7 linked regions of the Bombyx mori genome follow. The protein of the gene in region 4 purifies or fractionates together with the protein of the main gene of each other region. This does not show direct contact. Links are inferred from orthologs where the notes say so. Each region holds a gene or a part of one and is shown on either strand. Other genes may lie near its edges.

The links.
Region 1: the proteins of ruvB-like 2 (region 4) and DNA-directed RNA polymerase II subunit RPB2 purify together in Homo sapiens (affinity purification with mass spectrometry; 3 studies listed by BioGRID and IntAct, with this or other methods). This does not show direct contact. The link is inferred for Bombyx mori from reciprocal best matches to the Homo sapiens genes RUVBL2 and POLR2B.
Region 2: the proteins of ruvB-like 2 (region 4) and armadillo segment polarity protein purify together in Homo sapiens (affinity purification with mass spectrometry; 5 studies listed by BioGRID, with this or other methods). This does not show direct contact. The link is inferred for Bombyx mori from reciprocal best matches to the Homo sapiens genes RUVBL2 and CTNNB1.
Region 3: the proteins of ruvB-like 2 (region 4) and protein SHQ1 homolog purify together in Homo sapiens (affinity purification with mass spectrometry; 4 studies listed by BioGRID and IntAct, with this or other methods). This does not show direct contact. The link is inferred for Bombyx mori from reciprocal best matches to the Homo sapiens genes RUVBL2 and SHQ1.
Region 5: the proteins of ruvB-like 2 (region 4) and ARP6 actin-related protein 6-like protein purify together in Homo sapiens (co-immunoprecipitation; 7 studies listed by BioGRID and IntAct, counting the BioPlex papers as one, with this or other methods). This does not show direct contact. The link is inferred for Bombyx mori from reciprocal best matches to the Homo sapiens genes RUVBL2 and ACTR6.
Region 6: the proteins of ruvB-like 2 (region 4) and putative RNA polymerase II subunit B1 CTD phosphatase RPAP2 purify together in Homo sapiens (affinity purification with mass spectrometry; 3 studies listed by BioGRID and IntAct, with this or other methods). This does not show direct contact. The link is inferred for Bombyx mori from reciprocal best matches to the Homo sapiens genes RUVBL2 and RPAP2.
Region 7: the proteins of ruvB-like 2 (region 4) and 116 kDa U5 small nuclear ribonucleoprotein component purify together in Homo sapiens (affinity purification with mass spectrometry; 5 studies listed by BioGRID and IntAct, with this or other methods). This does not show direct contact. The link is inferred for Bombyx mori from reciprocal best matches to the Homo sapiens genes RUVBL2 and EFTUD2.

Annotation. Positions count from the first base shown.
Region 1 is NC_085110.1:13,230,051-13,234,082, reverse strand, and holds the start of DNA-directed RNA polymerase II subunit RPB2, read right to left. Parts: upstream 2,801-4,032; 5' UTR 2,661-2,800; coding exon 1-2,660. UniProt on the Homo sapiens protein: Catalytic core component of RNA polymerase II (Pol II), a DNA-dependent RNA polymerase which synthesizes mRNA precursors and many functional non-coding RNAs using the four ribonucleoside triphosphates as substrates.
Region 2 is NC_085116.1:12,303,011-12,307,180, reverse strand, and holds the start of armadillo segment polarity protein, read right to left. Parts: upstream 2,801-4,170; 5' UTR 2,660-2,800; intron 2,613-2,659; exon of another isoform or gene 2,416-2,612; intron 2,374-2,415; 5' UTR 2,343-2,373; coding exon 2,306-2,342; intron 2,234-2,305; exon of another isoform or gene 2,066-2,233; intron 1,631-2,065; coding exon 1,506-1,630; intron 650-1,505; coding exon 544-649; intron 415-543; coding exon 204-414; intron 73-203; coding exon 1-72. Other genes in the region: uncharacterized protein LOC101744306, read left to right, coding at 4,001-4,170. UniProt on the Homo sapiens protein: Key downstream component of the canonical Wnt signaling pathway.
Region 3 is NC_085132.1:6,847,900-6,852,196, forward strand, and holds protein SHQ1 homolog, read left to right. Parts: upstream 1-1,497; 5' UTR 1,498-1,751; coding exon 1,752-3,149; 3' UTR 3,150-3,881; downstream 3,882-4,297. UniProt on the Homo sapiens protein: Required for the quantitative accumulation of H/ACA ribonucleoproteins (RNPs), including telomerase, probably through the stabilization of DKC1, from the time of its synthesis until its association with NOP10, NHP2, and NAF1 at the nascent H/ACA RNA.
Region 4 is NC_085117.1:3,013,533-3,017,032, reverse strand, and holds part of ruvB-like 2, read right to left. Parts: intron 3,316-3,500; coding exon 3,219-3,315; intron 1,694-3,218; coding exon 1,562-1,693; intron 393-1,561; coding exon 280-392; intron 1-279. UniProt on the Homo sapiens protein: Possesses single-stranded DNA-stimulated ATPase and ATP-dependent DNA helicase (5' to 3') activity; hexamerization is thought to be critical for ATP hydrolysis and adjacent subunits in the ring-like structure contribute to the ATPase activity.
Region 5 is NC_085108.1:3,056,634-3,060,686, forward strand, and holds ARP6 actin-related protein 6-like protein, read left to right. Parts: upstream 1-1,281; 5' UTR 1,282-1,489; coding exon 1,490-2,174; intron 2,175-2,705; coding exon 2,706-3,205; 3' UTR 3,206-3,553; downstream 3,554-4,053. UniProt on the Homo sapiens protein: Required for formation and/or maintenance of proper nucleolar structure and function. Plays a dual role in the regulation of ribosomal DNA (rDNA) transcription.
Region 6 is NC_085121.1:1,520,202-1,523,782, reverse strand, and holds putative RNA polymerase II subunit B1 CTD phosphatase RPAP2, read right to left. Parts: upstream 2,456-3,581; coding exon 653-2,455; 3' UTR 501-652; downstream 1-500. Other genes in the region: uncharacterized protein LOC101736188, read left to right, coding at 2,738-2,740.
Region 7 is NC_085121.1:1,483,803-1,487,991, reverse strand, and holds the start of 116 kDa U5 small nuclear ribonucleoprotein component, read left to right. Parts: upstream 1-1,389; 5' UTR 1,390-1,522; coding exon 1,523-1,713; intron 1,714-1,942; coding exon 1,943-2,172; intron 2,173-2,661; coding exon 2,662-2,913; intron 2,914-3,183; coding exon 3,184-3,441; intron 3,442-3,870; coding exon 3,871-4,112; intron 4,113-4,189. Other genes in the region: nucleolar complex protein 4 homolog B, read right to left, coding at 622-730, 826-948. UniProt on the Homo sapiens protein: Required for pre-mRNA splicing as component of the spliceosome, including pre-catalytic, catalytic and post-catalytic spliceosomal complexes. Component of the U5 snRNP and the U4/U6-U5 tri-snRNP complex, a building block of the spliceosome.

The sequences.
Region 1 (4,032 bases), on a different chromosome or scaffold from region 4:
AATCGTTTTGTTGTACCTTCCAACTCATCATCATTTTCTGGCAAAGTTATAGTTTTTCCTATGACAACATCATCACCTGATACTCTAATACCAGGAGCAATAATACCATCATCATCTAATTTGTCATACAGAGCATTCCTCATACCCTGACATGTCTGTCTGGTTGGTTTTTCAAACTGTTCTTCTTGTTCTCCATTTCTTTTAGATTCAGAATCTTTGTATGAACGGTAAAATACGGATCTAAAGAATCCTCTCTCTACAGCAGATGCATTCAAAATAACACTATCTTCTTGGTTATATCCGGTATAACAAAGAATAGCAACAATGGAGTTAATTCCTGCTGGCAATTCTCTAAATCGTAAGTATTCCATAGATCTTGTCGTAACCAGGGGTTTGTGAGGATAATACAAAACATGAGCCAGTGTATCCATTCTAACATGGAAATTTGTGATATAAACTCCCATAGCTTGTTTACCCATAGCACTTTGATAAGTATTTCTGGGACTTTGATTATGATCTGGGAATGGAATAATAGACGCACAGACACCCAGAATCATTGCAGGATGAATCTCACAATGTGTATAAGTAGTACAATATGCATATTCTTTAACTTGATTCAAGTCATCTAAACTCATGGCAATCATCACAGTTTCTTCTTCCAAAGTATCAATATATTCAACTACTCCACTAGCCACCAAATTTTGCCAACCATAGTTATTGTAGTCCTTTTCTTTTAAATCATCTATGTGCTTCTTTTTCAACAATAAGACACCATTATTGACAATAAGTAATGGCCTACAAATTCTACCTGCATCTGTATAGATTCTGATTTCTCTGTCTCTTATATCTCTAATCATACTGACTTCAGAGACAATGATGTCCATATGACGTCTTAGTTTACGTAGTGTAGCCATCAACTGTTCAGGGTCCCTGTGTATTCCTACCCAACAACCATTCACAAATATCTTTGTGGCATCAGCTATAGCTGATGGTGCAATTTCTTCCAAGTTTTCCATTGACCATTCTTCCAAGAACTCCAAAATTGGTGAAGGTTGACTTCCTACTGAGATATAAGCCATTAATGCTAAATTCTTCACTAAGCCAACAGCAGCTCCCTCTGGAGTTTCAGCAGGACAAATCATACCCCATAAAGTATTGTGCAATTGACGTGGTTTAGCAAGTTTACCATCACGTCCAATTGGAGAATTGACACGTCTTAAATGGGATAAAGTAGATGCAAAAGTTAATCTGTTCAACACTTGAGATACTCCAGCTCGGGCCTGATGAGCTTTCTTTTGGTCACCCCAATTACCAGTTGCCAAAGAATAACGAAGACCATCAGTGATGATTTTTGTTTTGATAGCAAGTTCCAAGTTGAAATCTTTTCCTCTATCAATAAATTTTTGAGCATACATTCGGACTTCTTTTAGTAAATTTTTGAATAAGCCTCTAAATAGAAAAGCCAAAAGTGGTCCTGCTAAATCTAATCTTTTGTTGCCATAATGATCTCTATCATCCAGTTCTCTTCGACCCAAAGCAGCTAATAATAATCTGTGTACCATGTAGCCTAGAAAATAAGCTTTTTTTGTTTCACAAAAATCTGATACTCCAACATGTGGCAACATTTCCTTTTGTAAGATTTCTCTAGCATATTTAATACGTCTTTCTTTGGTGACACCTGGGCGTGCTCCTCGGCTTCCAATAAAATTGAGTGCTACATTTTGTTCTTGAATGACAAAAGCCTCATCAAGAGATGGCTTAACCATTTCCATCATTTCTGGATCATCAAAATCATATATAATGTGTTCCAATATATCTCTATCAGCAACAAAACCTAAAGCTCTGAATACAATCATTATAGGTATGTCTTGTTTGATATATGGGACAATTGCCATAATTCTTTGACCAATAGCAGATTTCTTTATATTTTGTCCTCCTCGAGCCATCATATTAACCCATAATGTAGATGTCGGTCTAGAACTATGTTCCAGACATGATCTTATTTCTGTTTTGTAAGCATATTTGCCATCCTTCATGCTGAATACATAGACAGTATTGGTAGCCATTTTTTCCTGTGCAATTAGTACTTTTTCTGATCCATTAATAATGAAGTAACCACCAGGATCTAAGGGGCATTCATTCAATTCTGACAAGTCACGGTCAGTCAAACTGTTTAGTAAGCAATATGTAGATCTAAGCATAATAGGAATCTTGCCAATAAATGTTTTCTGATGTTGCGTTTCAATAGGATCCTCATGTTCTTTCTCTATTGTTTTTGTAATATCAACATATAAAGGTGCCGAATATGTTAAATTACGAAGACGTGCTTCATTGGGCATCATGGGAGATGGAGCTCCATCTTTCTCCCAATGAGTAGGTTTAGATAAATAAATTTGGTCAAATTTAAGACGATATTTTGGTGGTGTTTCCATCTCACCAGAGAAATGTTGTGCTTCTGCTTGTAATTCTATGGGTGGAGAATCTTCAACTATACGTTGTACCGACATTTGAATAAATTCATCGAAGCTATCTAATTGCTGTCTCACTAGACCTTTTTCATCGAAATAAGCGTTGATGACAATCCAACAAGCTTCTTGCCAAAGCTCAGGTGTTATTTCCACATCTTCCTCTTCGTATTGATCATCTTCTGTATCATACATCTTCGCTAAAGCGAGTGTTGTATTTAAAAAATATACTGTAGGCTATTAATGGCCTTTCTGTATTTTCAATTGGAAAATATTAAAGCAAATGCGTCGTCGTCGCCTTTCCTAGGCTCTATTATCTATGGTAGCAAATATCATAGATTAAACACATGCAAATATTATGTGCTTAATGGCTCAGTGAATTTAGCCCCCTTTTTTATTTTGGATTTTTTTATATTTGTTGGCGTGAGGTGATGGTTTGCTTATTAGATATAAAATAATTAATAATTGAGAATTCAATTGTTTTTATGATCGAACAATCACCAATAGTCGTCAAACAAACGATAATTGATCAAAATTAATTAATCTGAGTGATAAAAATAAAGATATCTAGTAAAAGGAGCCAACTTAATGTGATCATTTGTTTAATTAATTATAAATAAATAAAAGACGAACAAAGATTTTTTACATATGAACATTAACGAACAAACAACGGACAAATAATTAAAAATAAAAAAATTTGAAAATCAAAAAAAGAGGGGCCAAATTCAGTGTGCCGTAGGTATAGATCATACACTTAATATTTAAGTTAGTAGGTTATGGCTCTGTAAATTTGGCCCCCTTTTTTTATTTTCGGATTTTTTTTATTTTTAATTATTTGTTCGTCGTTTGTTCGTTAATGCTCGAATGTAAAAATTGTTTGTTCGTCTTTTGTTTATTTATAATTAATTAAATAAATGATCACCGTTAAGTGGGCCCCTCTTACTAGATATCTTTATTTTTATCGATTAATTCATTTTAATTCATTTTGATCAATTATCGTTTGTTCGATGACTATTGGTGATTGTTCGATCATAAAAATAATTAAATTCCCAATTATTAATTATTTTATATTAATGTAATACCGAAATACTTCACGAGATGGCGTTACAAAAAATCCCTTCCCAAAACTATAAAACCGTTGTGATTGTCTACTGAATAGATAATATAATAAATAATATTTATTCGTAGGTGATTGTTTAAGATGTTATGAATATTTCAGTTTTGATTTCATCAAAATAACTTGAACTTTACTACTAAATTCCGAAAAAAATTTTAATTAAGGCTGAGTTAAATTTAGCTTTTTATTTAAGCCTCTTACTGTAGTTTTTGAATTACATTTATGCAGATTGACGTTTCAAAGCTTTCAGATTTCAATTTTAAAATCTGAAATAATTAAGAACAGCGTCATCCACCGTTCACATTTGAAACAGAATTTAATTCGGTTTAAATTTGTAAAAGTTGATGTTGATTATTATTACACTAATTAATTGAGCGTTTCATTAGCTTTTAAGCTGAGTGACTATATACTAGTAATATATTTTTATTCTATTGTCTATTTTTGTTAAGT
Region 2 (4,170 bases), on a different chromosome or scaffold from region 4:
ACCATCATGGCAGCTTGGGATACTACTACTTGATCTTCATCATTCAGTAGCTTTATCAACTCTGGAATAGCTCTGAAACAAATTTAAAATCAATAGGAATAGAACAAATGAATAATAATAGTGTAATGTTTTTTTTTTCATGCTTGTTGCCTGATGATCTGATAGAATATCTGGTGTTAGGCTATTATATTACATAATTATACCTGGTAGCTAAATCAGCATCATCTTGATAATTGATGAGGTTCACCACAGCATGCTTTAACATCTGGGAAGGTTCAGCTAAACGCTGGACAGCAGTTGGTTGAGCGGGATCCAGCTGTGTCGATGGAATTTCAATTCCTTCCTCCAGCGTTTCAGGAAACATAGCCGCACGGACTCTTTGAGATCTAGTTTGAGAAAGCTGTTGATTCATATCTGAAAGTAAAGCATATGATATTGAATACAACAATCCAAACAGCTTGTATTGTCATAAGAATTTTTGTGTAAAATTATTTCTATATTGTACATTCAAACGTTTCTAAATGAAATGGGGAAACAACTCACCATCAACTTGTTCTTGAGTGAATCCCTGAGCAAAACCCTGATCAAGGTCAAACATAAGTTGGTCACCTTCCATCTCATCATCTTCCTTGCCAGTTAGTGATGGAACCTGAAGAGAATCATACATTTAACTAAAATAAATTGATGTGACTATTCAAAAAGGTAGGAGTCATCTGATTATCACTCTCAGTCAAGTTACAAAGGTATGGTTATGTATTCTCATAAAAAATCTTTTGTACTTTTGGGAATAAAAAATATTTTTTAAATATCAAATAAAAGTTAGCAATTATCACTATAGCTGATCTTTTGTGCATTTTTATGATATTTTATATTACTTTTCGAGCTGTATACTAAGATTTTAGTTTCATCAGTGCTTAAACAACTATTAAGAAGTACACAAGGCTTGACGTGTACTCTAAAAACTAAAATGCAAGAATATCTTCACACTATAATGGATGGTGTTTTGCTCATATTTACTGTCCTTACTTAAAGAACACAGGCCAGATAAAATCAATGAAATACCATAACAGATTTCACTAATGAAAGTACTGCTCAGTTCAATTCAAAATCTATTTAATATGCAGAAGTAATTTTCAAACTGCTAGTTTGTATGGTTCAGTCACGACTAAATGAGACAGAAAATGTTTTTTCTTTTTCTTTAGATCATTCTACGTTTAACAGTTAAAAGTTCCATGATAAAATCAGCAAGGTTTAGAGCACACGTAGTTCAGGTATCTCATATTATGAAGTGTCATCATAATAAAAAATTTAATCAAACTTCATCATTATTTTGTATATTGAATGACTTATGTTGTTGTATTGATAAAGATAGATTTTCAGTTGTGTCCATCCCAAAATTATGTTAAATTAAGAAGACAAGCCGTATTTTATTTTAATCCAATTTTTATAATGAAATAGGACAATATTACTGCTGTATTTTATAATAGACAGTCTGATAACATTACCTGGGTAGCAGCTCCAGAGTTGATTCCAGAGTCCACTAAATAGGAGTTTTGCTGCCACATCAATGTCTGCTGCTCTTTGTTTGGTGCCATTGGCACATCAGAAGCAACATAGCTGCTGTGCGACACTGTAAAATAATGATGTTTTCTCGTTTTTTATTCACACAAAACAGAGAGATATATATATATTTCTGTAGGAATGTAAGGGGTAGTATGGGTTTAATTTCAAGCGAACATAAAGAGAATTAGTAAGTAGTTGCAGGAGCTAAACTTAAACTAAAATAAAGTGGTTACTTTATGCCATTAATGTGAACTCCACGTCTTTTGACAAGAGATTGAAGTTTCAATTATGTTGAATCCTAATCTTGTTATACCTGTATTTTCATTAATTGAAGAACCTTTTTGAGAGTTCTCAAATCATAACAAATTATATTTCAAATTTCCTTTTAATCTAATTTATTTGCAATTTGTTTAAAAATTGTTTTCAAATAAATGAACTGAGAATGTATGATTCAAAATGTAATTTTTTCCCTCAGTTTCAATTCCAATGTTTTCGTGTTTTAGGATTTCTTTTTCTTTTGCTACTTAGCAGAGAATGTACTGAGATACAGAAAAGTTAAAGTTCATTTATAAATTTATCGTTCAAGTAATGCCATATGCATGAGTCACGATAGACACAAACCGATTCATTCAATTGTATCGAAGTAAGTGGTTTGAACAGCGTTCAGTAAGTACTCAAGCTTTTTGAATGGCAATGATATGATAAATTTACATTTACAAAAGAATCAATATAAATTACTTACTTGTGCGACTTTGCGATGATGGAATTTGATAACTCATGATTTAGACGATGCGACGATGCACCCGTCCCCTGTTGTAAAAAATACCATAAAACATGTCTCCGCTTTGTACGTTATCGATCGATTCATAAGAATTAAAGCATGGTTCACATTAGAACTTAATCACATAAACATTTGCATTTATTTAATGCTTCCCACTAGGAAATACTTTTGGAACAGCGGAAAACAAAACAAATAAGTGCACCATGAACTAAATACCGAACACCACACCCGACCCCATAAAATAACTTGTACTGGTCGAGATATTAAGGTGACTAATATCATTATTTAATTAAAATTAATGCGAATAAAACTTACCTTGGCCGTGCAAGCCAAACAGATTAACTGTTTTCACGACTTTTAAATAATTTTTACAAATTAAATGCACAATATCCGACCCACCGTCACTCGATTCATACAACAACATGGCGGAGACTCGTCGAATTTCGTTTACTTTCAAATGCAGCTGACACTAGTATTGCTACTTCGTTCGCTCTAAGGTATTGCATATGCTTTTATCTCATTTTTTCTTCAAAGGCTCGGGGTGCCAACATAAAGTTCAGGGATAAATTGTAAACAATACGATTCGTGGCACGCAGATTTGTATTTTTTTAATGATGCCTAATTGATTTGTAACTTTTTTATACAGCAGATAATAATTTTACATAATTGTTACGTCATATTATTATATTAAATGACCTAGTTTTAAAAAACCTGATGTACCTGAGCCTTGACCACTGAGTCTACTCCCTGTCTGAAGGTACCTGAGGTCTTATTCCAGCTATGCCCGGACGGGTATGATTTTAAGGGATTGACATGAGTTAGACCACGTGACGTTTCGTTAGCATAGGTAATTATTATTTATTATGTCAATTCCTTAAAATTAAATATAATAAATACGGTACTTCTGTATTTACATATCTAATATTCACATTAACGCTAGTACATTCACAGATAATATATGTACTTAATATTTAAGAGCACACTTTGTCTAGATCCCTAGGTCTATATTGGTTACTAGCTAATATTTAAGTTTTTAGATTAAAGGCGGTTGATTTTATCAGGTATCTTTATCAACTTATGTGAAAATATTTCTAGGTACAAAATTATTTCGAAGCAACATAGTAGGCAGAATCCTGCTTCAAGATCAATGCACGAAATAATGTCATACAAGTTCCGTGGCCGTGAATGCGATGGCGATATTACTTTCAGATTTTTTGTTGGCATCAAAAGCAAAAAAATATCGTGGGTTCGATTCCCAGATCAGGTAAACATTAGTGTGATGAACAGATTTGTTTACTATTTGTTTGGATGTTGATATCCGTATAAATGAATGAAAGTATTGAGCCATTTTAAATGTTATAAACGTACTTTTAAAGGTATAGCTATGTATTTATTTATCTAGTTTGGGGCCAACTGAACATGTGTGATTTCTCCGAGCTAATTTTCTTTTTGTTATTTTGTAATCTTACAATTTGTACGAAAAATTTCGTCTTGACCAGCTGGGTAGTTAAAACATGAAAGCGCAACAAACCACCAATCCCACTTTCGCATTGAATAGTATTATTATGGATTGAAATTGCCAAGATCTTCTGCTTATCGGGACTTTTTTCAAAGTTCGTTTAAAAGAAGCACCTGTCAAATCGTAGACTCAAATGGATGATTTGTGCATATTTTTTATGGTATTTCAATAACACCGACCGTTGTGAAGCAAGAAAACCTCGAATAAATACGTGCTGTATAAAGTCTTCATTATTATTTTACGGAATCAATAAATTAGTATCACCTAAAATGGCCAGCAGTTTATACAATATATCAACGTACAGCCG
Region 3 (4,297 bases), on a different chromosome or scaffold from region 4:
ATTATAAAAAGGTTAAGAGGCTCAAACATAGTACATATTTCTATTTATATAGTGATTTTATTTTTGAGTCTTGCCAAGAAGTTGATAAAATTAATTTCGTTTCATTCCAGTTTAATTGTTACTTTCATTTTGGTTTCAACCTTACGTATATTTCTTTCAGTAGCAAAGTATACTTGAAATGTTTCAATTGCAGTTGAAATGTTGCATTTAGTATGTACTTTACTTTCAACAAAATGAAAAACTATTAAGAATTCTAGCTAGGAACTCGAGGAAATAATCTGAATTGTTTTATTTTGTTATTATTATGATTATGTTATGTTATTTGGTGCATCTTGTAAACGTGTAATATTAGTTTCTTATTAAACGTTTAGTATTTAAGAAAATGCACAATTTTGAAACAAAATCACGGAACGCTGTTTGTAGTGTTCTTTCAAATTCATTCAACTGCATTGAACTTCTTATAATTTCCTACCAAATTACTGAGATGTTATTTCATTTCATGTAACTCTGCACGGTATCTATAGCTTATGTTTCCTTTGCATAATCAAGAGTGAATAAAGAAATAAAAATAAGTTTGACATACTCTGGTTTTAAGTAGAGATGGCCAAAAATGGCAATTTTTATTGATGAAGACGATGTTTTCCTTTTTACAAATAGTGCTTATAAAATAAAATAAACTAAATATCGAGACCGTTTACCTTTTTCTGTTGTAGAAAATAAGCATTCCAAAAGCAACGACGTCGCGTCAATTAATAAATGACGATAATTATGTTCTTAGCTTGGATCCTACTACTAGTCTCAAAGACCGATACGACCATTTTAAAGCATTGTCCTTTCAGCTTAAAGGGCTATTATAGCTATGTACAGATGGGTAGGTGAGCTCATGGGCTCAACCTAAGAGAATTTTACACCTAACACTAGTGTTAAAACAAGATAAAACTAGTGCTGCAAGAGCAGCACTTCGCAGAATATAGTACTAGATCGGAATCGTGACCCACTGAGAAGATCCGGCGAGAAACTCAATGGGATATTTCTATGGGTTAGTTCAGTCGTCGAACTGTTCGTCGAAATTGAGGTTTCATGAAAACGGTGACCGTTGCTTGAAGAGCCTGAAAGCACCTGGAGTGGATTCGGGCGATCCGACAAGGCATCTTTGGAATGACAGCGGCTATAAGTTGCGCCGTCACCTGGATCGTAAAAGTAACTGGCAGTGACTACGATAAGTGGGTTAGTCGGGCCCTTTGTCGACGTAGCGTTCTGATGCAACCTTAAAATATTCACGTATCGGTTATAATCATAGTGAAGTTTAAATAGTTCTGAAAACTGGTGATTATGCATCATCATATAATCAACGTTGGATTCGATATGCATTGCTATAGCATTGTTCGATACTCTATCGAAACAAAATTTCGTGCACCGCGTAACACTACATCGATACTCGATAATGTCGATACGTATCGCGCATCTTCAGTGATTAGTGTAAATGTCAAATGTAAATGACAAATGTCAAACGGATGTTTCCGTTATGCCGGAGGGGGATTACCATGCGTTGTTTCATTGTTTGTTAACGAAATAGCTTCTACCTAATTATTTTATGAGGGTTAAATCTTAAGATATATCAAGTCCACGGTACCGAAGTAACGAACTTGTTACTTTTTTGTGAATCAGTCCATTGTTTGACTGCATCGCAATCAGTTTTAATACTAAACAAAGGCAGTTGGTGCCTGACTAGAAGATCAATAGTATACATCATGCTTACTCCACGTTTTAAATTAACGCAAGACGACAACCACATATTCGTAACAGTTCACGCACCGTATACAAACATTGGAGATACAGAAATAGATGTTGATGGCGAAAATTTCCTTTTTGTGTCTAGTCCTTACTTCCTTCGATTGCGATTACCTGGCAGGATCGTTGATGATGATCGGGCAAAAGGTTCATACACTTGTGATTCGGGAGACTTCAATCTCACATTTGAAAAAGAAACTGCCGGGGAACATTTTGAGAACCTTGATATGATCACAAATTTACTAGCACCTCGTGATATACCAGATGTCAATCCTAATCTAGTTGAAATGCTTGAAGAAGATGGAATTACCCTGGAAAATGATAGTGACAGTGAGAACTTAGAAAAATTCACATATGGCTTTGCTAATAAAATATCCAATGAATTTTGCAGCATCGGAAATGAATTTCCACAAATTTTTGAATTAAAAGCACCTGAAAATGTTGCTGTGGACGAACGTAATTCTATGAGGATGAAACATGAAAATGATAAATTCTCGTCTGATCATTATCTAGCAGACTTTTTTGATGATGAACTTCTTGCACCCTACTTATCATCCACTTCTTATTGGGACAAAGGGGATTTCAAAAATGAAGTAGAATTTACAGATGAAGAAGTAGCCATATTAAAAGAATTGCCAAACAAGCATTATTTGCTAAGCAAAGAAGAGTATAGAGAAATTATGCTCGGATTAATAGATATCTTGTTTGGGTATTGCTACGACAAAAGAACAACATTAAATGAAAGCACAGTGGAGTCAAGCTGGACCATAAACAAGCTTTCTTCAACACTAAGTTGGTTCTGCACTTTCTTAGATACAAGACATGTTTTGATTGCATGCTACAGGAGAGCACTCACTTATCCGATATTTAGGAACTATGAGCTGTGTAACAAAGTAAAGAATGATCTAGTATCACTATTACGTAAAGGCAAGAAATTGGTAATAAAATGTATGATTGAAGTACATCAAATGTTCAACACTAGTAATGATGCACGTTATATCTTAAACCAGCTTTATATCAAAGACTATTTGGTGTTCTTACAAAAATGTCGTAATGAGGAAATCATGGAAATATGCAATAATATAGCTAATATTGAGCTCTGTAAAAAAGATTTGAACTTAGAGTTAGATGAATTGGAAATGGCTGCTGAAATGGTTAAACAGGAAGAAACTGAAATCATGGAGAATGAGATGGCCGTCCAAATGGCTTCCATGTCTTTACTACCGGGACTGAAAAAGAATATTGCTCCATACCTTGATGAGAGTGATGATGACACTGACAGCTCAACGGACTCAAGTGATGATAGTTCTTCTGAAGATTCCTCTGATGAAGGCCTAGATTCTGATGATGATCCATGAAAAACAAGAGGAGTGTAAATAATTCAATTCTCGAAAGACACTAATTAGTGTGAATTTGCATGTTTTGATTGCACTTAATTTGGTTCATGCAATCAATTAATGAATTTATTTTATAAATTTTAAGATATTTGAATATGTTAGAAAGACTGAATAGTTTAGTGTCAAGAGAATAAAGGGCTGGTTTAAAGGTTTGAAAGATTCTATAATAATTAAAAAATTTAATTATATATTAATTCATCATTAAATTCTATTTAACCTATGGCAGAGTTTCAGACATTTGATAACCAATACTTTCAATGTTATTTTGAAAGTTGTGTGCACAAATGCACAGCCCACCTGATTTGAAGTGATAGAATGTCCTAGCCACTATTATTCTGTGGCAAAGATAGGCATGGCTGTAGAGTCTACACACTGCCTCCTGCAAACTGCATAGGTACTTGAAATTTAATAATTTTATTATAATGTAACACTGCCATTTTTTAAAGAAGGCAATTATTTATGTTAAGCAAAACTATAGTAGTGTTCAGTTTCTTCTCAATTTTCAAGAAAATTAATCATGTATCTCTAAGTCTAGATTAGCAATCAATGATCGATTACTGACTGCAAAGTGTAGTCTAAAGTAAGCATATTAAAAACTGATTAACCAAATCGTTGAGAAATGAGAACATTTTTAATAAACAAAATTATCTATGTATTGACATTTTCGTGAAATAAATAACTGTTTATAAAATATCACATTTATTTTACTAGTTTTCTTTTTGTTAGTTTCTAGTTTTTATGGCAGTTATAGCCATAACAGATTGTTGTTGTTGTTGTTGTTGTTGTAGTCCTAGGGCACCCTGCTGGTACATAGGGCCCTCACAAGTTGTCTCCACTTGACCCTGTCTTGAGCTTGCGTCTCCACTTGACCCTGTCTTGAGCTTGCTCCTTGACATCACTCCAGATCACGTCATCCATAAATTACGTCACACGTTATGGGGCAGGTTATCAACAGAATGTGATATTGTGTGACATAGGGCCGGGGGTCACAAGTGTTACGTGACGATTTAAGATTTAAAAAACTTACTAAAAAGTCAGCTCCTTTCTCTGTTATCTAACATATTTGACTAAGGTATGTTGACTTGATTAAATAATAATTAATAAAAATA
Region 4 (3,500 bases):
CGAGTCCGCGCGGGTAGGTACCACTTCTCTGCCTGTTTCAGCCGTGAAGCAGTAATGCGTTTCGGTTTGAAGGGCAGCTGTTGTACTGTTAAAAATGAGACCTTACAACTTATATCTCAAGGTGGGTGATGGCATTTAAGTTTCAGATGTCTATGAACTCCTGTAACCACTTAACACCAGGTGGTTTGTGACCTCGTCCACCCATCTATGCAATAGAAAAGAACTCCATCCCCCTATAAAAATCACCACCCGTTCTATGTTAGACAGAAAAAAGATTACCTCATCGATGAATAGCACCCCCGGAATCATTTCTGCCTTCCCCTCCTCTCTCCACTCAGCCACCTTACTGTTAATCTGCTCCCGAATCTCAGATTTAATCTCGCCCGTGTCGCCTGAGAACACAAAGTCGGTCCGTGGACATCAAAACCTTGGAGGTTTGGGGTCCGGCTAGTTTAGAGACCTTATCACTTGACCAGGTGGAATAACAGACTCTAGAGCTCCAGCCAGGTACTGAAGGAGTGCTGATCTGGAGATCTGACAGTTCAAGGATTTATCCTTCGAGTACATCTATTGGATCAGATCGGCAGGACCCAGCGAGAGACTCAGTTGACTGATGCTACGGTCTAAGACTGGATCCTTTATGTCTTTAAGGGTAAGGACAAAGGGAACATCTTCCACCGAGCAGGATTGATGCGTCTTACGATGTTCCGCCATCTCTCCCTGCTCGAGGTCATTCTACTGCACTCATTTAGGGAACCTCCCACTGCAGTTTTAATTTGGGCTTTCCACCACATTGGTGACCTCTGGAACTTGTATATACGCACATATATCTCGAAAATGTCGTTAGCGAGATTCAGGCATTGATCATTAAGACAGGGGTTCCCAAGCATATTTTGTCTACGGCCCACTTTGAGAATAAATTATTTTTAACGCCCCCATTTTCTCAACTACTTAAAAACCCCTATAGCGAGAGGTCAGTCGGTGACTAAGGGTATCCTAGTTGAAATTACTAATCGCCTCCCAAGCCTCTACACAACGCCCCCCATTTTTTTATCTGGGTCTCTTACAGCCCCCCTTTAGGCCTGCAGCACCCAAAAGGGGGCGTTATCGCCCACTTTGAGAAAGGCTGATTTGAGAGATGTATGTCCCATTACCTTTTGCTCTAGATCAGGGGTGGGCAAATATTTTGATTAGTCAGTTTTTTTTCTAATTTTATATTGTGCGACTATTATACATAGTGTAATAATTGTTCAATTATCATAATTATATTTTCGAATAGGAGGCGCTGAATAGAGCGGTTGTCCGGGAGAAAATTTTCCCACCGGCCCTGATAGTATGTATTGGTATTGCTTAATATTTTATCTAAAAAATTTTATGCAATGTGTTTTTAATAATAATATATTATATACAATGCTTCACGGGCCAAACAAAATTCTACCTCCGCCATTTGCCCAGGCCTGCTCTAGATAGTTTATTAGATAGCATTAAGAGGTATCCGGACAACTGCTCCACCCTTCGACTTACGAAGGCAGTCCTGCCGGTTCAATGCGCACAGACTCACCGGAGAACAGTGCCAGGAAGCCGTGGGTCCTGGAGTTGATGACGTCCACCTCGTGCAGCGTCACCGTGTGCACCACCTCCTTGCGCTTCTGCAGCTCGCCCTCGGGGCACTGCACGAACCTGGCCTGCTGACCTGATTGATGTATACAAATAATAATGTCATATACTATTTATTTGTTACTCACTGAGGGTCGGGATAAAAAAAAAAAAAAAAAGTGTGTGTGTGTGTGTGTGTGTGTGCAAGTCACACGTGGTAGAAGTGAAACATATAAAAATATAAAAATAATCGCAAAGGTCACCCAGCAGTGCAATGGAGCAGTCTCACTCTGGGGGAACCGCCTGCATGATTACGGTATCCCTACGTCAGGTATTTTGTTTTTTTTTTCCTACCTAAGCTGATAGCCTTGAGAGGCTATTTCAGCGGAACCTTAACTAGTAGATGAGCTCACGGGCTCAAACCTGACGACGTTGCTAACACTGGTCCTAGCAAGAGTAGTGCTTCGCAGAATCTATTACCGGATCGGCAATGCGACCCGCTGAGAAGATCCGGCGAGAAACTCAGTGGGCTGTGTCTGAGGGTTAATTTACTCGTCGAGCCTATCGTCGCAAGCGACGGGTTCGACGAAAACGGTGACCGGCGCCAGGTAAGTATGATTTAGCAAGAGAAATACGAGAACGTCTATCAACTGTGTAACATCTCGTCACCGCGACTCAGGAATTGTTGAATTTACGTGCAGCGATATCTGTTGATAACAAGCCAAATATAAATAATTTTAAATCATCTTGTATAGTATGAGGTAGCGCCCTCTATGAATTGATATTTTAACTTCACTTAAAACGTGTTCTATCTGATTCTCTCGCCGGCTGAATCCTATACATATATGTGTTTGTGTCTCTATGGACTTATTTTTTCGTTTCGTTTCATTTCGTTTCATCGAGTTTGAAATCACAACGATTCTAAAGAAGTGACACTTCAAAACTTCCAGCGAAGTACTAAATTAAAACTCTATTAAGCACTTAGAATACTTAAGGAACACTTTATAATTCGCACTTCACTTCTTCCGCTTCGCTTCGAGTAGATTCGAGTCGATTACTAACTGCCTTCGTGTCATCTCTTTTATAGCTTTTATAGCCAGGACAACATCTCTACAATTACCGAGAACATTCCTGGTAGGACCAGTCGTTTCGATAGGTGTTTCCGCTATTTGATAATAGATGCAAGTTACACTTCTCGAGCATTCCCGATTTTATTAGTTCTTTTAATATTCGTTTTTGCTATTCGGCGACAGATGGCATTATTATTATCAGCGTAATAAGAACTTAATGCAAATTATTGTATAATCATCGGTCCTTGACACAAGTGAAAATTTTCAAGTCGATCAAACATCTTAAGCAATTTGAAAGAATCCGTTACATACAATTGATTTGTCAGATTTTTTTTTTATTTTTTTTTTGTGCAGGCATTTTACTATAGGCAGACGAGCATACGGCCTACTTGATGGGAAGCAGTTACCGTCACCCATGGACCTCAGCAATGTCAGGAGCAGAGCCAAGTCGCTGCCTACCGTATATCTAGTGTTTGTTTAAAGATAGGCTCCTTCCAAATCATTCCTTTCACATTGTCTTCGATACATTGGCAATTCAATATAGCTGCTCACCGGTAGCATCATAGTCTCTGGCTCTGGCAAAACTCCTGCCGAGCTTGTTTATTTTGCCTGTAGCCTTGTCTATGGTGATCACATCTCCGGCTTGAACCTGTCAACAAGAAAATCGTTCAGCAACTAGTTCGGACCTAGCAAGCTAGAGTCTAGTCAGCAAGTATGTGGCTTATTTGGTATTAAATAGTTACTGGATCTCATGGACATCAACAAGGTGGTGAGGTTACTTGAACTAGGTTAACTAGGTTATATATTATATTATATACTATAACGAATACAGCT
Region 5 (4,053 bases), on a different chromosome or scaffold from region 4:
CAAACGATTCCATTCCATGCAAATATGAGCTAACTTTTACGCTATCGAGAACGTTAAAAAACTCGCACCAAGCGCACAGTTCGACGAGAGAACTAGCCCATACACACAACTCATTGAGTTTCTCGCTGAACCTTCTTGGTGATTCGCGATTCCGATCCGGTGGTAGATTACACGAAGCATTTCTCTTGCTGGGGCCAGTGTTAGCAATTTCTCTCAGATTTAGCCTGTGAGCTCACTTACCCATCCGTATTGGCATAGCGCTAAAGGCTACCAGCAAATAGGGATGATCGATATTAGAAAAACATCGATTTAAAAGTGTCGATGTTTTTGGTAGGAAATAAAACTGTCTATTTTATTTATTACACGTGCTTATTAATTAAAACTACATTTTACGGATTTTAAGCAGTCGCTTAATTATTGGACTTGACTCCGACATCACATTTCACAATTTACAGTTTCCTTACTACTGTGGTGTGGCAGTAATGCGTTTTGAAGCACATTTATGTAGTAGGGCTTGATTATTACGTTAATCAGTGTCATCTAGTTTAAAATAGTTGTACTGCCTAGAGACTTGCTAGCTAGAAAGTTCATCCACCGTTAGATGGCCCTAAAAGATATATGGACGTTTCGATAATTCGATATTCTATTCTCATAACATCATGTGTCGATTTTATCGAAACCAAAACGATGTTTATTCAACATCGATGAATATCGATCATCTCTACCAGAGAATAGGTAGGGAAAAAATCACAGCCGGTGCAGTGTTTTAAAAAAATGTTGTTTCTTATAGAATAACAGTTTAGTATTTGTGAAAGTGAGACTATTGAACCAAACCTTTCTTGCTTGTCTTTCGAACATTCCATTAAATGGAATGCCCAACATTCAAGAGAGAAGTAATCTCATATTTTCTTCTTCTCTTAAAGAATCCGTGACATTTCCATCGACTTTCTTTCGCTTTCCCACACTTGTGCACTTTCATAGAAACTAAACGGCTAAAATCCATCATTATCAACGTTCAGACATTAAAATAAAGAATACAACACCAAATAACAATAAAATACACCCAACCACGATCTTCTCGTCGCCGTTAAAAAGTGCTAATAAATTTATTCAGTTTCAGTTCCAAACTATAGGTACATGAATCAGCCTTTTTAGCCAAAGACATGCTAAAGATTTTTAAAGAGATCGTTGCTAACGTTGGTAGTAACTAATATATTATAATCTGTGGTTGATTACATCCCCTTTGCCTGTCTTCTAACTGTCTAAGGAAAAATCAAATCAGTCAAATAAGAGTTGATTTGTTGATTAAATTAAATGAATTATTTGATTAAATGGAAAATATACATTTATGTTACGTATTTAAAGCTACCTAAATAAATAACATTTCCATTTTGCACATCCTTACAGTAATATTTCAGACCCAACTCAAGAAGATGCACATCTAATCTAATCAGTAATCACCGGTAACCTTTAAATAAAAGGTACGAAAATGAGCGAGACCTCTTGTTATATATTGGACAACGGAGCCTATACGGCTAAAGTTGGCTTCTCCAATTCCAAATCCAGGATAATACCTAATTGCATTATGAAGGCGAAATCTGAGAGACGCCGCCCTTTCATAGGCTCTCAGCTTGACGAGTGTCGCGACGCTTCAGGATTGTTCTACATCTTGCCTTTCCAGAAAGGTTTTCTAGTCAATTGGGACACTCAAAAAACCGTCTGGGACTTCATATTCAGCAAAGAATGCTGCCCAGTCAACTTCAATGACACCCCGCTGATCATAACCGAGCCGCTTTTTAACTTTGCCTCAATACAAGAGGCGATGACGGAAATATTCTTCGAAGAATACGAATGCCAGTCGTTGTTACGGATAAATGCTACAGATCTGGCTGAATACAATTATCGTAGGACTCATAAAAATGACTGCACAGTTGTAGTTGACTCCGGTTATAGTTTTACTTACATAGTTCCATACATAAATGGCAAAAAATATAAAGACGCGATTATAAGGATTGATGTTGGCGGGAAAGTGCTTACGAATCATTTGAAAGAGATCTTGTCGTATCGGCAATTGAACGTTATGGATGAAACCTATGTCATTAATCAAGTCAAAGAAGACTCCTGTTTTGTGTCCAAAGACTTTTTTGCGGATATGGAAATTGCTAAGAAGAAAGGTATATTTAAATTCATCGTTATGAATTATAGTTTCATTTAATCATGATTCAACATGTAATTGTGAAGCCTAGTAATGGAAGCTTAGTCTTAAAATTACAAATGACTAACAGTGCAAGTAAAATGAATAATTTTGCTAATCAATTCCATTTTAAAACAGCTTTATATTCTGATTGATTATGCAGCAGGTGGCTACAAATTGGTTTATATACCAATAGTTTTTGTGATATTATTATATTGGACAAATTAGGTTATTTTCTGCACCTAAAGATAGGCACTCAAACCACCTTAAATTTTCTCCAACAAAATGCAATCTTATATCTAGACGAGAGAGCTGCATTCATTTTGAAATGTTGTTTAGTTCCCCATACTCAACACTGAGTTGGCTATGAGCCACTTGACTTGAGTGCTCCTCTTCAGGTTCAGAGAATATATATTCACCAATACAAAAAATTTGCACCTAAATATCCATTTGGCTGTACTTATTTAATGTTATTAAAAAAAAGTTATTTTTATTCTAATTATGCTTACAGGACCAGAGAATGCAATTGTAAAAGACTATGTGTTGCCTGACTACACATCCTTGCGTCGAGGTTATCTACGAGACATAGTCCCACCAGAAGAGGACCTGGAACAACAGACATTACGGTTGAACAATGAGAGGTTTTCCATTCCGGAACTATTGTTCCACCCCTCAGACGTCGGCATCCAACAGATGGGAATACCAGAAGCCATCATGCACTCGATAAACTCTTGCCCAGAAGAGCATACGGAAAACCTACTGGCAAATATAGTTTTATACGGTGGGAACACATTATTCCCTGGTTTCCGTGACAGAGTTTACAACGATGTGCGTTCTTTAGCCTTAGATCATTTTGATGTGAACATTGAACTACCAGACAACCCGATCACATATGCTTGGGAAGGTGGAAAATATATATTTCGTGATCCAGAATTTTATTCGTTTTGTATGACTAAGGAAGAGTATGAGGAAGAAGGGAAGCCACTGGCATTTGAAAGGTTCGATATATAACGAAGAAAGCGAGCAAGGAAGTCTACGGAATAGGCTCTTGCTCGTTAAACATTGTGTGAAAATGAACGGGTATTATGATTTGGTAAGCCGTGAAAGAATCTGATCTTATGGCTTAAAGGTAACTAGAAATGGGACAATTGATAAAATGAAATGTGCTATGAAGAACACTTTTAATTATTTTGGATATAATAAACTATCTTTGGTGATGTGCCAACTATTTTTTATGTAAATTGTAATGTAATTTGTTATTGTCTTATCTTTTTCTGCTGCATTTAACCGAATACTAATGGGACTCTTGTAGAAATTCAAAAACACTTGAAACAATAAATTATTTTCTGTATAAAACTACTAATTACGAAATTTTTTTTACATTTCAATGTGACCTATATTGTTGATATGTGGCCACGTTTCGGCTTCATATACTCCTTGTGGGATACCCTGCATGCCAATTTAATATACTCTTTCTACTCTGAATTTCCTCATAACCTCGGTACTGGCTTCGCTTATACGTGTGCGGTCATAATTATGTTTATATATTATTATATTAAATTGGTTCTCAATTGTAATGCGATGCAACAGTGTTCGAATTCCGCAGGCGGGTACCAATTTTTCTAATGAAATACGTACTTAACAAATGTTCACGATTGACTTCCACAGTGAAGGAATAACATCGTGTAATAAAAATCAAACCCGCAAAATTATAATTTGCGTAATTACTGGTAGTAGGACCCCTTGTGAGTCCCCACAAGTGGGTACCACCACCCGCCTATTTCTGCCGTAAAGCAGTAATGCGTTCCGGTTTGAAGGGTGAGGCAGTCGTTTTAACTATACTGAAACCTTAGACCTCT
Region 6 (3,581 bases), on a different chromosome or scaffold from region 4:
CTAGAATCTCATGACTCAAGTAGCACAATGGCATCTAAATTTGTAATGTTTATGGGGTCCAGTAACTGTTGAAGTTATATATACTTCTTTAGGCGCGTTATGAAAAATTGATGAGAGTGAAATTTTACGATGCGCGCGCACCGTGACACAAAATTAACAGAATGAAGTTGCCCACTAAATCTACCGACGTAATTTGGCGGGTCTGAATATAGCCGCAGGTGAACTTTCGCGCATGTACACTCGTAAAAAGAAGTGTTATCAGCATTATTTTTTGTAATATAAATGACAAAATTATTATTTAATATAATTCATACTAAATATTATTAAATTATTAACGTTAAATATTTATTATTAATTATTTAATATCTAAAAAAAAAGGGAATAAATTTAATAAAAATAAAGTATAACTTCTTACGAGCGTACATAAGTACACGAACCCTTTTTTTATACTGGCTGAGTTGTGAGCTTCTGCATTATCAATGCAATAAAAATTTTGCGAGTTTATTGATAAATATTACTCTGGCAAGTTTATATTCCATGAAACTAAAACAACAATATTTTGAATTAAAAAAAAGTGTTTTGAACAAAACAAGTATTTACAATCTAAAATATCACAAGTTACATTAATGTTACAGTAAGATTATGCATACAATCATTCTATAGCACAGTGACTGTTTGTATTCAATAATCTATCAACATCGGTCAGCCAAAATATTAGTCTATCTAAATAGCCATTATCTTGTTTGTAACTCAAGAGTAACAACTGAATATGTTGGTATGCCATTGGTTGCTCCAATAAGTGTGCCAAGTGTACATCTCTTAATGATAGAAGTTTTATAAATATTATGGTAATCATAGTCCACTGAATCGGCTTAAACATTATATTATTTGCTTTCAATTTGAATGTGTTTACCAAAAGACGCACCTCTGTGCTTATGGCCAAACTTAATAAACCTAGGCACCTCAAGATGTCCGGTAGGGTCTTATTTAAATGTTGACAGACTATTCGTCTACGTAATGCATTTTGAGAATTCTTGTCTACTAATGGCAAAGCTGTGAAGTTCTCATCTGATTGTGTGTTCTTTTCTTCAGGCTCTGGTTCAGGTATTTCAGTTTGACCAGCAAAAAACGCCTTTACTTTCAATTGTATTTTCTTGCTTTCTTCCTGTAGTATAGTGTAATCTGGCAGCGGTTTCATTTCCCTTTGCATTGTTTTGGCATCATAACGTTTGTCTTCTAATTCGAGCATATTAAGTTTTCTGCATAAAGCTTGGTATTGATCATAGGCTGTGGAATTGTAGAATGTACCTTTTGTAAAATTTTTCAGATATTCTTTCACACTGTCTTCTTTATCTGATACCATTTCTCTCACTTTCTCTTCGCCATAGAGAAAAATTAATGTGTCTAAAGTAAACCATTCTGCTAGACATTTTTCCACTTCTACAATTAATACAGTCACTAATGGCTTTTTCTCTTTCTTTTTTTCTTGAGATAGAGATGAGCTTGCGTTATTTTGTTCATCCTTTGCACTTAGTAAAGTCAAATCAATTTTCTTCTCAGGTTTTTCTATGATATCTCCGACAATGTTCATTGGATTGTATACTGCTTTTTTCATTTTATCAGTATTTTCAGACTTCACTGATACAGGACAAGATTTTTCCTGTAGATACTTTTGTGTTTGAACAGAATTTGATTCTGAATTTAAGATATAGGATTTCCCTTCTGATGCTTTATTTACGCTGTCTTTATGCTTCATTTCTTTTTCATCCAGTTCAGTACTTTCTGTACTTAATTTAAAGTTTTGTTCATTTTGCTCCTCAGTAGCTTTATTATATACATCATCTTTACCATTATTTGATGCCATATCTCTAAGAGTAGCTTTTACAAAACCATTGGTAACTACGAAAGGCTTGTTTTCAAGTTCTACTTTCACTCTGTCAATTATTGACACATCAATCTCCTGTCCCATGCAACCATCTGCCGAATTCATTGGTAATAAATTAAATTGTGGGATTATCTCATATTCTCTAAACCAAAGCGGGCTTGTTAGCATCTGCTTTTTAATGTGCATGGCAGATTTATAACAACTATTACTGCAAAAGCTTTTTCTAACTGTAATATCATATACTTTGTTCGTTTTCATGGAGATTCGGTATTTTTGCTTCGGTATGTCTTTCTTGGATAATGTGTTCGAGCAGAGCGGGTAACCACATAGACTTATGATTGATCGTTCTTCAATAACATCTTCGAAATGAGACTGGTTTAGGTCTGGTAAGCATTTGAGGAAATAAACTTCGTTTATGCTATTTTCTAGAAAACTTTCAACTATATGTTGCGCTTTTGAGTTACACTCTCGTTTCTTAATTATCGCTTGTTGAATTTGTTCTTTCGTGAGGTCTTCTATTGTTGTAGGTTTTTTTTTAGGAGGCTTCACGTTTGTTTCCATTTTATTCATAAAATTGTTATTTTTATTTCAGATCAGAACCATAGTTATTTTTTTTGGTACAATTTTTCCTTATTAGGAAAGGCAAAAGGATCTAAGCCCATAAGCCTTGTCTGTTCCATGAACCGTAGATAATACACTTAATATATTATGTTAATTCCATGGAGTTAATAAGTACCTACAACGTTAATTCACACAATGCTTTTTCTTTCATGTTAGCAAAAGTCAGATGTCAATTTCATTTCACTCAGAAACTCAGAACTCAGGTTGGGAGTAGGTTACGTGTCTAAATCTATGGTTAGTATTAGATTTTTTTTAAATTGGATTGGGTCCTAGACATGCATAGATTATGTAAATGGAATAGACTGAACTGATTTCCTCAACATATTCTGGTACTATTATTTACCCTGTGCATTATTAATGGCGGTCTGGTTAGTCGTCTCTCAAGGTTAAGCTTTATTTACTAGTTCCTCAGTCCGTCGGACACGTCAGTAAATCTTAAGTCTTTTAATCCACAATTCCGGTAACCATAATGATTTAATTATGAAATCATCAAGTTGTAACCGTTTTATTTTTGATTGCCTTATGCTGAAGCAATTTTAAAATCTATATCAGTAGATGGGATACAGCTCGCCTACTGCTGAATAGTTTTCATATATAGACTAAAGTATGAATGAACTCACGTGGAAATATTAAGCCGAATTGTTTATTTCGAAACGGTTCTTCAACTATTCAGAATAATTCGAAAAGCTTTGGTTTTGTTTGTTTGATTTATCTGTTCCGCTCGGCTGGACAATATCTGTCCGAAACTATAAGCCTACAAAGTTATTACGGATTGGACTGGCGTCGTTTAAGCGTTGGACATGATATTATTTAATAAAACTATTAAGATCCAGGATATACATTAACGGATCAGTAGTATAGTACTAGACAATACTTGCGTACTAGGTACACACATCCATAATGATCCATAGTATTTTAGTCTAGTATTTATTAACAGACTTGTCTATTTGACAATTCATTTGTATGATTTGTATTTTGTATTAATTAGAAATTGCTCTCAGACTCGTCAGTTAGGCTTTAATTTGGTATACAATTTAAAATCATAATTTATAGTCAGATGCAATATTTGTAGCTG
Region 7 (4,189 bases), on a different chromosome or scaffold from region 4:
TAATAATCAGGGAAAAACATTGATTTCAAAATATATTTCTAAAAAGTCTAGTTCTCCATTAAAGTGTGGAGTAGTTTTCTTAATTCATTTTAATTTCTATCAAGCAACTAACACAATTGAGATTTTGATTCAAAATATGCTAATGATAGCTTCACATTGAGTTTAATTTTGACAAAATAAGTTATAAAATAAGATAACTAAACCTGAAGATAATTAAATAGACAAACATATCTACAGAAACGACCTTGAAACTAGTGACAGCCCACACAATAGCAAATTGCAAACTTTATTTAGTAAAAAATATATTTATATGACTACTTTTTTTTTCAATTAAAAACTGAATCGTTAGTACTTAAAATCCCAACGTGTTAGCTTCGTAATTACGGTTCAACTGCAATAATTGCAGTATTTCATATATTTATTCAAATGTTTTTTAAAAGCAAATGTCAATTAGTATGCAGCTAAATTGACAAATTTAGACAGCAACATTTTTCGCAACGTAACACAGCTTACATACTACGTAAACACAACGTATATCTACGTACAGTCAGGTTCGCACCATGCTAAAATCGATATATTCAATTCAAAAACACATTTTCGTGCGGCAAAACAAAATCATACCTGCAGGCTTTAATGGAACTATTTCCTGGACTAAATCGCCCCGTTTTAATAGTTCGGTGAATATTACTTCTATTGTAAGCATTAGCGGCGTATAATTGTCTGTTTCGACCTGTAATATAAATGTTAAAATCACGAATTACAAATGTAACCTATGACGCATTACATTTTTCGTTGTACTAAATGAACAAGGGATTTCATGCTCACCTCAAACATCTGCAATATATCAGCAAGATTGTTCGCATGTTTTCTGGAGTTAAGAAACTCATTTGCTTTATTACGAAGCTGTCCCGAAATCATTTTCGAAAAATTTTGTTGCACAGCAGCCATTTTTGTATTGAAAAGGATTGACAAAAAGTGACAACTGATCAGGCGGGCAACCTTAGAAAATATGGTTTCGTTTAGTAATTAGGTAAACGACTAATGAACATGCCTGTGCCTAGGAAACTCTTATTTTATTTTCTAAAAATATATTAATTGAAATCAAAATCAGAATTAATAGCTTTATATTAAAGTAGGTTCACATCAAATCTTTTTAATCGTTTTAACTATATTATCTAAAAAAACAAACCACTAGAGCAACAATGTAAGCTTGCATTAAAATAATCTCTGTGAAAATACACAAATATTATTACGAAATATTAGTTTAAAAACTAACCATAAGACATTTAAATGATATTTTTTGATAGTATTAAAACATTGCTAAATTATTAGTGCTGCTCTTTACCTATGTTTTTTTCATACAGTCCAATTCGTTTATTTTCGTTTAGAAATGAAACCAGATTTTAAGGTTATCTTGCTGTCAAAGTCAAAACTTGTTCAAAACAATCTTTAGAGCATCGGCAGTTGTTTTGGATAATTATTTTTCGGAAATATTTTCAAAATATAGTTATCAATATTAAAAATGGACGGAGATTTATATGACGAATTTGGAAACTACATCGGGCCAGACTTGGAGTCTGATTCTGAAGACGAACAGAGTGTATATGGTCAGGATAATCGTGAAGGTGATGAGGAAGCAATGGAGGAGGACGAGGACGCAGACGCGGAGCCCGAAGTTGCGCCTATGTCCGTCGTTCTTCATGAGGACAAACGGTAAAACTTTTTCATTTAAAACTAACAAATAAAGCGGCCTTACAAGATGTTAACCCACTTTACCGGTACTAGCGACGCACATGCTAGACCATAGAACAAGCACACTCAGACCTCGAATACCTAATATTTTTAACAAAGAAAAAAGTACTGAGAAAAGCTATGCTCTGTTTTGGTATTTGTTAAAATTAGTTATTGATTAATAATAACATTATTAACCATCAAACTTCAGTTACTATCCTCAAGCTGTAGAAGTGTATGGACCCGACGTAGAGACAGTCGTCCAAGAAGAAGATACACAGGCTCTCGACAAACCCCTGGTAGAGCCTGTGAAACACAAGAAGTTCCAGGTTCAAGAACAGCAGCTACCAGAGACCACCTACGACATGGAGTACATGGCTGACATGTTAGATAATACTAACTTAATCAGAAATATTACGTTAATGGGCCACTTGCACAATGGTATGTGATGTGATTTCAATGAAATAAATAAGAGACAAGTCATCCATGAGCTTTTTGTAGAGCTTTTATTTGTTAATAATAAATTAATTTGATTATTATTATTACATTTTCTATAATTACCATTCAACTTATAATGTTGAGTTTCATAAAAACTACTTTATACTATGTACACACAGATAACCGTAAAATCTTTAAAGTGTATTGAATAAAATAAAATGAAACTATTGGAATTATATTATTATTATTATATATAGAGGCCTATTTTCTGCAGTGGACGGCGATAGGCTGAAATGATGATGATGATGATGATGATGATGATTAAATGCAAGAAAACTGAAGAAAAGACTAAGATTTAAGTGATCAATATTAATCTAAAATAGGATTTAGTAACAAAAATAAAAAAATGTGCAGATCAGAAAAAGAAATTTCATATTTCCTATCGAAAATTAGTGAGTGTTATTTGATCTTCTTAAAACTGTTTTATTTCAGGAAAAACATCTTTTGTAGACTGTCTCATGAGACAGACACATCCTGGAACAATTAACAATGAGACAACAATACCTATAAGGTATACAGATACTCTGTTTGTGGAGCAAGAGCGAGGAGTGTCGATAAAGTCCATGCCGGTAACATTGCTATTGAAGGATATAAAGGGAAAGTCACATTTATTGAATATCATGGATACTCCAGGTCACGTGAACTTCAGTGATGAGGTGACTGCTGCTTTGCGGATATCGGATGGTAATTTTTTTACTGAAGAGGAAAGCTTATTTGTGAAATACTTATCAATTCTCAATACTCATAAAAGCAATTTAACCAACAATCAAAGTCATGTGTGTTTCTTTATTTGACATTATAACCATAAGTCGACATCTGAGCATTTTTAATTGTTGAGGTTATTATCAAAAATGTACACGCTTCACAAATGCTGCCTATGAAAATTCATTTTAAAATATTTTTTAAAAAGAGGTTTCAGTATAAACAAATACAGGTTAATTTTGTCTTTTATAGGAGCGGTACTCTTTGTGGACGCTGCTGAAGGTATAATGCTCAACACGGAGCGAATGTTACGTCATGCAGTACAAGAAAGAATTCATTTAACTCTTTGCATCAACAAAATAGACAGGCTAATGCTTGAGCTAAAATTACCTCCTGCAGATGCCTATTATAAGCTCAGGCATATTATTGATGAGCTGAATTCTATGCTGGAGACCAATCAACCTCAGGATAATCCTGATGAGCCTCCAATTGTATTTTCACCACTTCTGGGTAAGTTATTAGTATCTCCTATAGCCAGGTTTGTCACCAACCATACCTGGAGTATAAGTAACAACAATTGTACTGTACTAAGTTTCATGTCAATTGGAATGGATCAATTTCAAATAAACATTGTGTCTTAGATAAGGTACAGAACATTGCCAAAAGTTGTTTTTTTTTTTCATTTTTATTTTTTTTATTTTTTTATTGCCTTTGTAGGCAGACGAGCATACGGCCCACCTGATGGTAAGTGGTCACCGTCGCTCATGGACGTCAGCTTAGCCAGGGGCAGAGCCAAGCCGCTGCCTACCATAAAGTACTCTTTGGACCAAATGTGAATTCAAATGGTAATTATGTAGCCATCTACACAAATAAGAGAAATGAATACTTTAATCCATTTTTAAGGCGATTGCTAAGTTGAATGAGTATACTGTTGTCCAGGTAATGTCTGCTTCGCGTCAACATTGTACGACGTGTGTTTCTCTCTGGAATCGTTTGCGGCGATGTACGCTGCCTCGTACCCTGCGTGCGGACTGCGGGCATCCGACATGGCGGGCTGGCTGTGGGGCGATGTCTACTTCAACGCGAAGACTAGACGCTTCACGAAGAAACAACCTCATGCCTCTGCTCAGAGAAGCTTCGTGGAGTTCATATTGGAGCCGCTGTACAAGATTTTTGCTCAAGTAATTGATTGTAAATAATAATTAATTAGAAAATATCAACAATCCATGGATTGACCCTGCAGATACCGGACCCGTTA